Drosophila melanogaster: one gene and its partners. The protein of the gene in region 2 interacts with the protein of the main gene of each other region in a pairwise test. Each region holds a gene or a part of one and is shown on either strand. Other genes may lie near its edges.

What was found.
Region 1: the proteins of CG5823 (region 2) and EMC5 interact in a two-hybrid assay, tested with the Drosophila melanogaster proteins (one large-scale study listed by BioGRID).
Region 3: the proteins of CG5823 (region 2) and CG18810 interact in a two-hybrid assay, tested with the Drosophila melanogaster proteins (one large-scale study listed by BioGRID).

The regions. Positions count from the first base shown.
Region 1 is NT_033779.5:18,985,767-18,989,523, reverse strand, and holds EMC5 (ER membrane protein complex subunit 5), read right to left. Parts: upstream 1,818-3,757; 5' UTR 1,736-1,817; coding exon 1,654-1,735; intron 1,589-1,653; coding exon 1,536-1,588; intron 1,468-1,535; coding exon 1,273-1,467; 3' UTR 1,231-1,272; downstream 1-1,230. Other genes in the region: CG15170 (uncharacterized protein), read left to right, coding at 1-1,230; Swip-1 (Swiprosin-1), read left to right, coding at 2,614-2,852.
Region 2 is NT_033777.3:17,531,431-17,536,810, forward strand, and holds CG5823 (uncharacterized protein), read right to left. Parts: upstream 3,158-5,380; 5' UTR 2,689-3,157; intron 2,628-2,688; 5' UTR 2,494-2,627; coding exon 2,193-2,493; intron 1,901-2,192; coding exon 1,830-1,900; intron 1,770-1,829; coding exon 1,290-1,769; 3' UTR 895-1,289; downstream 1-894. Other genes in the region: P5cr-2 (Pyrroline-5-carboxylate reductase-like 2), read left to right, coding at 4,343-4,421, 4,603-5,268, 5,341-5,380.
Region 3 is NT_033779.5:20,646,687-20,650,827, forward strand, and holds CG18810 (uncharacterized protein), read left to right. Parts: upstream 1-2,225; 5' UTR 2,226-2,350; coding exon 2,351-3,253; 3' UTR 3,254-3,393; downstream 3,394-4,141. Other genes in the region: CG2608 (uncharacterized protein), read left to right, coding at 1-176; CG2611 (uncharacterized protein), read left to right, coding at 3,565-3,774, 3,851-4,039.

The DNA of each region.
Region 1 (3,757 bases), on a different chromosome or scaffold from region 2:
ACCTCCGAGCAGAATCACACGCTGTCCACTTCCGCCCAACTGTGTGAGATCAATGGCTGCAATGAGGAGCAAGGAGCTTGGACCCAAGTCTGCGCCACCTGCGATTCAGCAATCGGCCGGGGTTGCAAGATAGATCTCTTTCAGGTCAACACCGGCAGGTGCAATGTTAGCTTATACGAGGAATGCCAGCAGGATGTTCTGTTGGGTGAGCAAGAGGATAAGTACTGCTTCAGCTTTCGCAGACTAAGCCGCGTTGTCAGAGGATGTTCTACTAAAATTCCAACAGATTTGGAGCCGTATGTAGAGCAATTAGAAAAGTGTAATACCAGTGACCACTGCAACGCAGGATGCATTACGCAGCAGAAGTGTTTTACATGCAACTCCGTGGATCAGGAACTTTGCCGGACAAATATTACGGCTATAGCTAATAGCACTTGTAGCTCCGCTGAGGCCTCTTCCTGTTTCTCCTGTGAGTACTCCAACTGGAGTATTCAGCGAGGCTGTGGAGCACCGCCGGAAAATCCTCAAATCACCAAGTGCTATGAATGCGATGAAGGCGCTGGGTGTAATAGTAAGGATTTCACCCGGTGCTACCAATGCAGCACGGATCAAGCGGGAGCAGGCTGTGCAAATTGGGAAAGTCCTGGCGAAATCTACATTGAAGAATGCGATGAACCGGCTGCACCATGTGTGGTTGTTTCCTTTAACAACGCCACCACTGCGAGAGGTTGCCAAAAATCGGACTTCAGCTGTGCTTCCGCAAATGTGGCCAGTTGTCGACTATGCGAAGGAAGTTTCTGCAACAAAGGATCATTTCCGGAGGAGCGCCTCTGGTGTCATCAGTGTAGGGGAGTGCAGGACTGCGAGGAGATCTCCAGGGGACAAACGGCTATGCCTTGTCCGGCTCGAGCAAATGAGCCGGAGGATCAAGAATTGGCCTGCTTGGAGTACTTTGACATCAACAGTAAAGAAATTGTAAGAGGATGTCGTTCCAATCCCGAGCTATACTACGAATGTCTCTTAAGGAGTAACCACTTCGACAGTTGTCGCACTTGTCACAGTCAGGCATGCAATAATAGTCCTGGCCGGGAATTAAGAGCCAGCTATGAGCTGGAGGCCAAGGCATTGTCCTTGTTGCAAGGCAAGAGTTCCGCAATATCCATCAAATTTTCGAATGCAGGTTACGGAGTTTGGTTGATCTTTAGCGTTATCTATATTGTAACTTGCTGAGACTATAAATAAAAGGATAGCAGAACTTAAAAGAAAGGTCTCTTATTCCGGGGGCGTATATCCAGGATTTAAGGCACGACCACGGTGATTGAAGGAATAGAACGAGGGGAAGTTGCCCAAGGTGTCCCAAGTTTTCTGTTGCATGTCCACGGTGGCGCGAATTTCCTTGAAGTTGCCAACGATCTCGATGATGTTGTAAATCACAATCACCAAACTGATGACGGTCTGCAGGATAATCTAAGGATTGATAAAGGAAAACTTTTCGTGAGTAACCATGCAAGCACCCTAAATGCACCGAAACCTACGTCCAATGGAAGGCTATTCCATTCCTGCTCCGTCAGCCTCAAATAGGTGCGATCTGTGGAGTAAATGCGGCACTTAGTGGTCCAAAGTTTATTTACCACAACAGTGACGAAAACTTACGATGGGCAGCAGAAAAAGCAGCATGTGCCAGGCTGGCAAATCCGGCAATTAGCAAGAGTTTGTTAAACAGTTTACTGCCCATTTTTATTGAACAATTACGAATTACAATCACAGTCGGTACAATTTTCTACAAAATTTTGCTAAATTGCTATCAAAATGCGGGCACACCTAGGGCTGGGAGCTTTGGACGATAGTTTAGGGTTGTCTGTATACCTCATATGCCGTAATATATTTAAGAATCTTAAATTTAAATATTTTATTGGGAACAACATTAAAATTATACAAAGATTGATTTTGTGATCAAACTAATTATATAATTATATTATAACTATATAAACATACAATAAATATTCGGTTACATATTTTGCTTAAGAAAGTTAAAAACTTTCGTAAAATTTGAAACCGTCTGTTCATCAGCTAGCTTTAAATAATGATTATATACATTATTAGTAACAGAATGAATTAAAAAAATTGTAAGGTATATATATTGCCTCGAAATTCAGCTGACTTTGGTATTTGTCAGCACACGGTCACTCGAAAAATGCCGCCGCGCCCGCTGGTATATTTGAACGCTCGTGTCACGGTCGCACTTTCATTCGTCTCTCAGCGTTCAGAAGATTCGGTAGTCGCGGCGGTCGAAGCGGAACACCAGTTGTCCAATAAGAAAGCCAATTTGCAGCAAAAAAAAAAAAAAAGACCGGCAATTCAAACGCACCTTGCAACTGTTTTTTCAAAGCCAAAAAAGGACTCAGGGCCACTCCCCACGACAAAAGCTTACGTGCAACGAGTCCGTGTGTGTTTTCCTGGCGCATCGCCGCATTTGTGTGTGTATCCGGACATCTCTTTTACGGTCCTTTTTGCGTGGGTGTGCCAAAAGGAAGAGAGAGTGAGAAGGCAGCAGAAAAGGGCAGAAAGGGAAATTCCAGCACACTAAAAAGCGAGTCAACAAGGAGCGACACAATGTCCGTTTCCTCGAACGCCTCATCCGCCTCCAACAAGGACAGCGTGGACAGCCCCAGCAGCACCACCAACACGGACAGCTCCGAGCTGACGCACATCCTCAATCGGCGCCAGGAGATCATGGAGTCCCAGGAGGCGGGCATCGAGGTGCGTCGCACCTACAAAGTGGTCAACGTCTACACCGACTTCCCCGAGTTCTCCCGTAACCAGATCAAGGACTACCAGAAGACCTTCAATACGTAAGTGAAGGCCGCCGAGCAATATTTACTTTTGTCCAGAGCCACTTTAAGGCGCAATATAAATTATATTAATATGGCGAAAAGGAAGCCAACATTTTGTTTATTGTTTTTGAAAACACCTGAGCAAAATCCGTTGCAATAATAATAGTTTATGATAAGTAACGATCATCTCTAGATTATTAAATAAATACAGTGTACTAGACACACTTGTATACATTACAAACGTTTGTAAATGTATATCTATTACACAAGATAATTCAAAAACAGAAATCAGTTTGCAAAACTATTTTAGGGCTTTCAATTTGCGCCAACCTTTACACTCCTTTCACCTGCAACGGCCACTTTCCCAGGCATCTCACCGCATTTGCGTCTCATTAAATGGCAACATAAAACTCATGCGCCTAATGATCATTTAAATTGCATTTACTGCAGCCCCTCCTGCAGCCAACCCACCCCTCCCCTGCCCCCCTGGGCAATGGGGCATGACTCACAAGTACTTGCGGAGAAGTTTTGTCACAGTCACTGGCTTATTCCCAAGTCGTGCTCCCGTCGCGCGGATCATGAGTCAAAAGTGGTTTTCTGCCCCAACACTTTCAGGCGGATTCAATTATCACACCACAGTCGAGCTCCCCTAAGTGCAATTTCTGTTAGCAAAAGCCAATCTTAAATATCGGTAATTCCGTTCAAAGTCATCATTCGATTATAGTGGCAAGGAAAAAGCTTATCCCACGTTAATACTCGTAATTCATTGAAACATTCTTTATTTATCTCTAAGGTTCTAATGCTCGACCTTAAGACTTAATAGCACCCATAGCGGTTATCGAGGTTCCCTTGTATTTGTTTACGGTTTTGCATTACCACCCGACAAAGCCAACTGTCGTCAGATGGGCCACCTTGCGAACGAA
Region 2 (5,380 bases):
CCATCCGGGATATCATTTAATGTTGTGTATCTTCTGGTGGTTTTCTCCCTCAGTGCAGCCGAAATTGGCTTAAACTGTTGCAAGTTCATAAAACAAACAACCAAATTTGAAAAGTTGCGAGTGCCAGCCGCAGTCGGAAACTTTGCCATGCTGCCTGAACTTGAAATTTACGTTAGTTAAATTATCAACTTCAGCGTCTGGCCAAAAAAACTTTCTGTGCAAAACAAAGTCGTCGCTGCGTCCTTTTATTTTAAAGGAGTTTGCCGCGTCTGCTGGGTAATCGGATTTTCTTTTCCCGAATTTTCTAATAATTCTAAACTCTCTTCTCTATAAATCTGTTATTGTTCAGCAAGTATTTTATTTTCCTGGAAAACTATTAAAACGACTTTAAATCTATAAAATATTCCTACAAAGCGAATATATCGTATAAATATATATACTGGTTATAGATAGTTTTAAAAAAAAATCATAGTATTATTCTGTAGTTTTTACTTCAAAGACATAGATTGTTTTTACTTCAAAGACATAGATTGTGGTAACCACAATTCACTGTAACCATCGAACTTGGTCCGCAACGCCCACTTCCAGGAGTAATAAGCGTCATGTGTGTAATTTCGGCTTAAGATGGCCAACAATGTAAGCGGTTTAAATGTGTAACATTGTTGCCCAGCCAGGCATCAGTTTATTGGATTTGGCCGTACTTAGCTAGTGTGAGGAAAAATTATTGCCGACTGCCAGCGGACTTTGCTTCATACTTAAGCCGCTTAGCCAGCGAAAAGCCAACTACAAATTACAACTTATTATACAAGTTGAATCATCCAACATCCAAGCAATTTGTGGCGACTGAAAATGAAGATCCATTTAATAATCAAGAAACGCACACATATATTGGTTAATTTGTACACGAGCTCATATGTTGCCGGGCTTCTTTATTCATTTACAAACATATTTCTGGCATTATTCACGTTGCATTAAACTAGGCGTTAATAGTAATGAATACATAACAAAACAATTTTTAAATTTCACAAGTCGAGTTCTGAATTGTGTGTTCTTGTGTTTTCAAATTTTGCTGCCGATAATTTTCAGACTAAGTCAGCAATCGTGGGAATCGTGGGAATGGATGCCGGGGGTCTAGTGCGGTTGTTTTTGAATCAAGCGGGGTATGTAAATACTTCTCAAGCGGTATACAATCCACGAAGACTATTTTAAAGTAAACTAGATTAGATATGCACACGCATACGGATGTGTAACTATTTCTTTATATAAATATAGAGGCTGTGTCGGTAATTCTATTCCTGATTCAGGTTCTTGATCACGTAATTAACAATGAGGGCAAAAATTGCAAAGCAGATAATGATCACCAGGTTTGAATAGACGGACTGCCAGTTTAGATAGGAGTTCCGTGCACTATTCTGGACCGCCGCTCCTCCGCCGCTGGCCAAATCCGCCTGACCCGCCGCCCCGCCATCGATTGCGTCCGCTGCATTCAGTGGATTGGCCAAGCCGCCCACCGCCAGATTGCCATCCGCAGATGCCAGGCTCGCTCCGTTGGCCAGTCCGTTGGAACGCTTTACTCCATTGGCAGCGGGTCCGTCCACAGCAGCTGCCGCCTGTGTTCCTCGCAGCCGCTGCTTGATCTCTTCGACTATCTCCGGAAACAGCTCACAGAAGTTGGTGTTGCGCAGGTTAAATGCTAGTGATTTTTGAGCAAACATTTGCTTGTCATAGTTCGATGATTCGATGGATCCGAGTGTGGGTGTGCTCTCCAGCTGTGAAGGATTTAAGATTGGCTTACTCAAACGTATGATCATGTATTCGTAATAACTCACCATGAAGCTCAGCAGTCCAGTGAGAATGGTGCCTACGCACCAAGTCGGGTTCCAAGTGTCCGGATGAAAATCTGAAAATCCCAATAGGGTTGATAAGTTATATGTTTGGAACAATAGAATCTAAACAGATCTAAACAGATACACGAATATCTATTTGAAAGGTCGCAAAAAACATGTTTGACTAAGCCACAAAGTCCATCGGCTTCGTCAAACATAACTAAAACTATTCAGCGTTCAAAGTTAATGGTAGTCTTTAAGCCTGTAGTTACTACCCATTCTTTAATGTTCTACTACTGTGACAACCAATCCGCTTTATTTCTAGCTGTGGATTCGGACTCCTACGGATATGGAACTGACACATACCTGATATACTCAAACACAGTCTGGTGTTGGTCTTGAAGCGACCGTTCGGCGTCAGCATGTAGATGGATGGCGGCTTGAATGGGAACTCGCGCGGAAAGAGCAGGGTGCCGTGGTAGTAGCCGCCGTAGTAGGGCGAGTCCTCCGGCCCCTTGACGCAGTAGTGCCACTCGAGGATGTTGTTGGGCAGCGGCTCGGCGGTTATGTACGGCAGGGGATCCCGCTTGAGGCGCATATAGTCCTGCTTCATGCGCGACACAGCAGTGGGTTGCTTCCGGCCGCCGGACGTCGACGACGAGGACATGGTGTTGTTTTGGTTTTGCTAATTTTTAACGAACTTAATTACTACCGCCCAAGTTTGAAAACCTAAACTATGATCGAACACGACTGGCCTACTGGTTTTTCTCTCACTGTAGCAGATAAGATAGCGACGTGGCCCTGTGGAATAATTTGCAAATCAATTATACTCGTATCTGGTCGCATAAATACCAATACGTACCGTCCTTCTCCAGAATTTCGAAGCTGTCGAAGATTCTTGTTCGGTGTGTTTATCATGCGATGGATTTCAGTCTCGCCAGCTCGGTTGTTTATTGTTTGCTTTTCTAGTACTGGCAGCCAACCTCGGTAACAAGTGCGTTTTCTAATTGTTGTTGCTGCTGTTACTGCGTTTTTGTTGATTTTTTTTTAAATTGCAATGAAATTGAGTGAGAAAACAACGCACATATACAGGCGCACACGACCGACACCCGCACACACACACTCACACACGTGTAGGGGACAACTAGGGCTTGACTTTGGTAAATTTTGGTAGTATCACGAGCTTACTCCGCTACAGTGGATGCCCCTAATTCGTATTAATCACTTGTGGGGTTATATATCCGGGTTTGGAGCTGGCAATATCTTAATTTAATCTTTTATTTTGGCATGAAGAGTTTAGTGGTACCGTGTGCGGAAGTAAGTTTCATCTCCAGTTTAGTGTTACCAGAGTCTATGTTGGCTTCCTCACCACGTGGTGAAGGAGGGAAACTTTGCTGCATACGGTGAGAAAATTGGATGGAGTGGTGTATGTATCCGCTAATTAACTGACTCTCAAATCTGTGCAATTCTTTGAAAACAGTAAATATAGATCTTTTAGTTTTAGCCGATTTGCTGGACTATCAAATACCCGTTACTTAATGCGAGATATGATAAAAAGAAGAAAGAACTCTTTTCGAAAATTGCTTACTAGGCGGTATCTACTTTCCAACGTATCTAGTATACCCGGGTATGTCCCAAAATCCCTATGGCAATATTTTGTAATATACAAAGTAAATACTTTGGTTTTCTAATGTAGCCCTTTACAAATAAGCATGTGTATATCGCCTCTACTGTTATCACGCTCACATTGATAACGATTGTTATCTCTTAAAGTGCGGAATGTTTTTGAAACTTGGTAAGTAAGGATTGCCAAAGAGTACAGCTATATAGAAATTTATAGAAATGGAATCCAAAACACGAAAGTGGATCAACGCACGATTACAGGGATTACAGGGCATCGGCATCTCGCATTAATTTGGACTTCGTCACGCCGATTAATGGGTGAATGAGTTGCGGATGACAGTTGTTCTAAATGATAAGGAAATACAACGGCGGGCAAAATATTAGCAATCGCGGCACTTGAACTGTATTTTAAACTACATATTATATATAATCAATATTATCAATCAATATTATAATTGATTGTTATATAAGCTGAAATCATAATAACTTCACTTTAAATAATGGGTTGTAATTTATGATCTATTAAAAATTTGTCTCTATCTTAAGTGGATTTTAATGACTATTTTTATTCAAATATAATTCGATTGTAAAACAGCACTATTAATAGTTTAATGTTTTCTTTATTTACAATGTGTGAAAAGTTCTTAGTATTTATTATTATTTTGCCCCGCTGTCGATTGCCGAACCCACACATAGGAACCTCAATGATAAGCTCAGATCGCTGGGTGTGTTGTTCCCTCAACGCAGGGGATTGGGAGGGGGTTGGCCGGGCAAGATTTCTTATCAATCCTCGCGTCTGTTTTTGGTCAACGCCGGCGGCGGGCGCACAGTTGCCGTTCCACCAGCAGAAAGTTCAGTACTCACAGTCCGCGGACTTTTTAACCCATTAACTAATGTCGGCAATCGGAAAGATCGGATTCCTGGGAGGCGGGAATATGGCCAAGGCTTTGGCTAAGGGTTTCCTAGCGGCCGGTGAGAAAGCCACTAATAAAATAGATTTGTAGTCTGACATACTTTGTGCTAGACAATAGATAAGACACACTTGGATATGCAATATATATATGAACTAACATCATCTTATAATTAGATACAAAAGGATAGGACGTTAAGGATTTCATCATATAATCGCCAAATTTCCTAATTCATTTCCTAGGCCTGGCCAAACCCAATACCCTGATAGCCAGCGTCCATCCGGCAGATAAGCTCTCCCTGCAGTCCTTTCAATCCCTGGGAGTGGAAACAGTGATCAAGAATGCACCCGTTGTGCAGCAATCGGATGTGGTCTTCGTGTCCGTGAAACCCCAAGTGGTTCCCTCGGTTTTGTCGGAGATTCAGCCATTGAGCTCGGGCAAACTATTCCTTTCCGTGGCCATGGGCATCACTTTGTCCACCATCGAGTCCAGTTTATCTCCACAAGCTCGCGTCATCCGTGTGATGCCCAATCTGCCGGCTGTCGTGTGTTCCGGTTGTTCGGTTTTCGTTCGCGGATCCAAGGCCACAGATGCAGATGCGGATATTACCCAGAAGCTGCTGCAGTCCGTGGGCACTTGTGAGCCGGTGGATGAGTCCCAGTTGGATGTGGTTACTGCTCTGAGCGGAAGTGGACCGGCCTATGTATTCGTGATGATTGAGGCCTTGGCGGATGGAGCCGTTCACATGGGCATGCCCAGGGATCTGGCCTATCGTTTGGCATCGCAAACAGTCCTGGGCGCAGGTCACATGGTGCGGGACAGTGGTATGCATCCCGGACAACTCAAGGATGGGGTCACAAGTCCGGCGGGATCGACAGCAGCGGCACTCAGACAACTCGAGCTGTCAGGTAAGTTGGGATGATGACGCCGATGACGCACTCGCTTATCGCCGCCACTTCAACCTTTGATGTCGATTGCAGGTTTTCGGGCTGCGGTGTCTGGAGCGGTGGAACAGGCGAC
Region 3 (4,141 bases), on a different chromosome or scaffold from region 2:
CGGAGACCAACCAAAGCTACGGATTCGTGCCTAGCAAGAATAAGAAGGATGTGCGCTCCATCGAACAAACTTTGGCCGACATCCAGGCCAAAAAGCGTCTGCGATTGGCTCAGCAGCAGGAGCTGGAGCAAGAGCAGCAAGCGCAAGAGGCAACCACATCCACAGAGGACCCATGAGTCGCCTGTGACCCAATTAGTATACAGATAGCTCACTTAATGCAAGACTGTCGCAACCAAAAAAAAGGATTATACTTCTTAAATCAGAATCAGAGAATCAGACATGACATGCTCGTCTTGTTCGCAAACTCCTGCTCGATAACATCGACAATATTTGACAAAACAGAGCAGTAATCATCTTCAGGGAGCCAAAGATTTTTAAATTTATAGTATTCATACTATGTTTTTGCCCACATTAATCGTATTTGGTAATAGGCTTGATACTAATTTTTATCTTAGGTTAGCCCCATTAAATTAAATGCCCTTTTTTTTTGAGTAATGACAGCCTTGTATCGAGTGAGATTAGTTTTGTTGATTCAGATTAGTCACATGAAAGGTCTCTGACTGCCATGTAAATCATAAGTAATAAGCAATTTCATTTGTTGGCCAATTAAGATCCGAAAGTTGTACATGTTTTAAGCAAGTTATGTGTCCGTAGCAGAGTCCGAATCGCAATATCTATTTATATAATAAAAACCTAAAAAAAAAAACGTCGCAAGGTTCAAAAAAATCTTAAAAACGGGGCGCCACTCAAAAATCACCAAAAAATACAGAATATTTCCATTCCAGTATTTTCTTGTTCGTCACTTCTTTCTTGTCACGGTGGTGAAGAAGCAGTCACAGTTTAATGCCAGCCGAAAGCCGCACCACGTGTTGCCCATTCCAAGAAAAATAAACTAAATTAGCACGATGGCTAATAGAAAACGCAACAAAATTTTGCTTAATACAATAGAGAAAGATATGTCAAATAGCTGAAAGTTATATGGTAACTAAAAGATGTGCGGATCACGAGAAACGAGCAATTCACTTTGACAGCCTGGCAGCTGTGACCCAAAGAGTCTCACTTTGAGACTTCTTGGGACCAACCAGCATGGGAAGTTTACGCGGTAAGAATAATACAGAAAGAAGATCTCCACAACCATGATGAAATCGTTAGATGGGGACAACTGATTACTGTGACTGATTCATCTCGATAGTAGATCTGATTTTAAAAATGTTGCTAGCCTACGTGCTTTCATGTTCAACAGCACTAAAATAACTCGTTCTTTTTATATAATGCAGAAAACTGATGTTTCTGACTGAAAACCGACGAAAGAATGGTTTCCACACTTGTAAGTATAATGATTGCTAAAGATTTATGATTTTTTTTTTTTTGTGATGAAATCGTTAGATAGGGACGTCTGATATCTGTGACTGATTTATCTCGATAGTAGATCTGATTTTAAAAATACTGTTAGCTTGCGTGATTTTATGTTCAACAACACTACAATAACTCTTTCTTTTTAGATAATGCAGAAAAACTGATGTTTCTGACTGAAAACCGACGAAAGAATGATTTCCACACTTGTAAGTATAATGATTGCTAAAGATTTATGATTTTTTTTTGTGATGAAATCGTTAGATAGGGACGTCTGATATCTGTGACTGATTTATCTCGATAGTAGATCTGATTTTTAAAATATTGTTAGCTTGCGTGATTTTATGTTCAACAACACTACAATAACTCTTTCTTTTTAGATAATGCTGAAACCCGAATTTCTCTGACAGAAACCCTACGTAAGAAGGATTTCCACACTTGTAAGTTTAAAGTGTTATGTGTACGTATATATAAATATGGGAGTATTTGAGGCCAAGTCTTAAGCTATTGTCTAGGAAACAAAATACCAAATACAAAAACGAAACTAAGGGTATTCTTTAAAACAACATGAATTTTGTTTGTATTTATTAAATCTATGAAAATGATCCGTAAACAAAAGTAAAGAAAAATAATTTTGCACATATTTTTTTTAGGAAATCTTTAGAACTGTCTGTAAAAATATATATTTAGAGTAACCCCTGAATAATGATTAAATACTTATGCATAATTTTTATTTATTTTACAGGGCTCCCTTGCATGATGCCAGAAAAGTGGACGTAAAAAATCTAATAAAATTATATTTATAGAAACAGAATGCAGCTTGCCATAGTTTTATTTTTTAAATATTTTTGAGAGACGGTTGGGAAAAGGGAGAAAAAATATTGATACATCGTGTAGGCTGGAATAACTAATTCAAAGTCACACCAATACTTTTTCCAAACCAGTTTTGCAATCTGCAGTAAAGTTTTTACAAATTGATCAAATCACTTTCGTTATAATGAGGTTTCGGTCGCTGAAGAACATATGGCCAAAAGAGAAGTTGGAGCAATTCCTATTTTTGTTCATTTTATGTGGCTTGCCCGCCATATACTATGTTCTAATGGAGATAATTCTGCCGGAGTTGTCGGATTATTGGTCACCTGGTTACGTATTTCAGCTGCTGCTGGGACTGTTCCTCTTTTCGAATGTGATGTCCAACTATGTCATGTGCATCCTGGTGGACCCCAGCATCGATCCCAAGCTTATGAAGAATCAGTTGGTGCGCGGACAGCACAGTGAGGACTGGCACGAGTGCGACAAGTGCGGGATTCTTGCTCCACCCCGGTCACGTCACTGCAGGAAGTGTGGCGTCTGTGTCCTGATGCGAGATCATCACTGCTTCTTTACTGGTTGCTGCATCGGTCATGAGAACTATAGATACTTTTTCTATTTTCTTATCTACTTTTTTCTAAGCTGCATGATTTCACTAACGTCATCTTCGATATTTATTTACGTTCTGCATGGGGGCAGATACCAGCTCTTTATGCTGACACATCCCGCACCGAACTCTGCCTATTTTAACTCGCTTATTATCAGGATAATCTACTTTAAGTTGCCCGATATATACGAGCTGGTGTTCACTCTGGTATTCGTCCTGCTGTGGATCGGGGTATGCGTAGCTACCTATGTGGCTTATGATCAGTGGTCTCGTGGCTATTTTTGCTATGATTTTGAACTTCAAAACATTCCTTTTGACCGAAAACTGCGCCGAAACTTCAAGACGTTCTTGGGCAGGCGAATGAAGTGGACCTGGATCTCCGGATTTGTTCCCAGCCAGCTGGACCACGACGGATTTGATCTGGATCCCGACAACGAACGTGTGGCAGATTGGTGCTCAGAAACAACCATCAAGGATGGCTAAATAATTTTATGCATTCTCTGTGTTTTCCAAATTACCGGTGCGATGAAAAATTAAAAATTCGAATTCATTTGATTAGTTCAGGCATGCAAGAAAGCTTTCCAAATTAAAAAGTTAAATATTTAAGGATGTGTTATTATGCGATATGTGTATGTTTCGTTTTATTTGGTCTCTACTGTGCTTGCTGATTTTCCCCAGGTTGGCAGTCTCGTCAGCTGTTTTCCTGATAACATTGACTTGCCGCAAAATGCTTGTTTGTTTAGTCTGAAATTGGCATCTGGTCAAGATCAACTGCCAGTAGGTAGAGACCACATATGGAGCCCACCAATTCGGAGTCGCGGCACCGCCTAAATGGAGGGGGCAGGAGTTCCGCGCCAGCAGGCTCCGGAGAGTACATCAAGGTGGTGGAGTCCCAATGCGAGACCGATGGATTCGTTAATGAACAGTGGACGGAACCGGCGATGCCAGGTCCAGTGCCTTGGAAGACCATTATTATCATTCTTTTGCTGTTTATCGGTGGCATTGTGAGTAGTGATTACTGGTGCCCACACATACATGCACAGTTCCTTCGAACTTCTGATCTGATGTCTTTGTCTTCAGGTTTGCATCGCCTTTGCCACCTTAAACTGGGTGACGGACACGAGCCGGGAGCGATCGGATCGGGTGTGGGCGTTGGGTATCATCGGGGCACTGACCTTCATCCCGGGAAGCTACTATGTGTACGTGCTCTTCTGCATAATGCTCAACCGCAACGGATTCACCATGGACGAGATACGAAGACTCGGCTGAAAAGGAGAAACCAAAGACACCAAATGTTTCGTCAAATAGAGTTTATTGCTTTTACACTACAGTTATTCACACATTTCATTGGCATAATTTCTTTAGCAACAA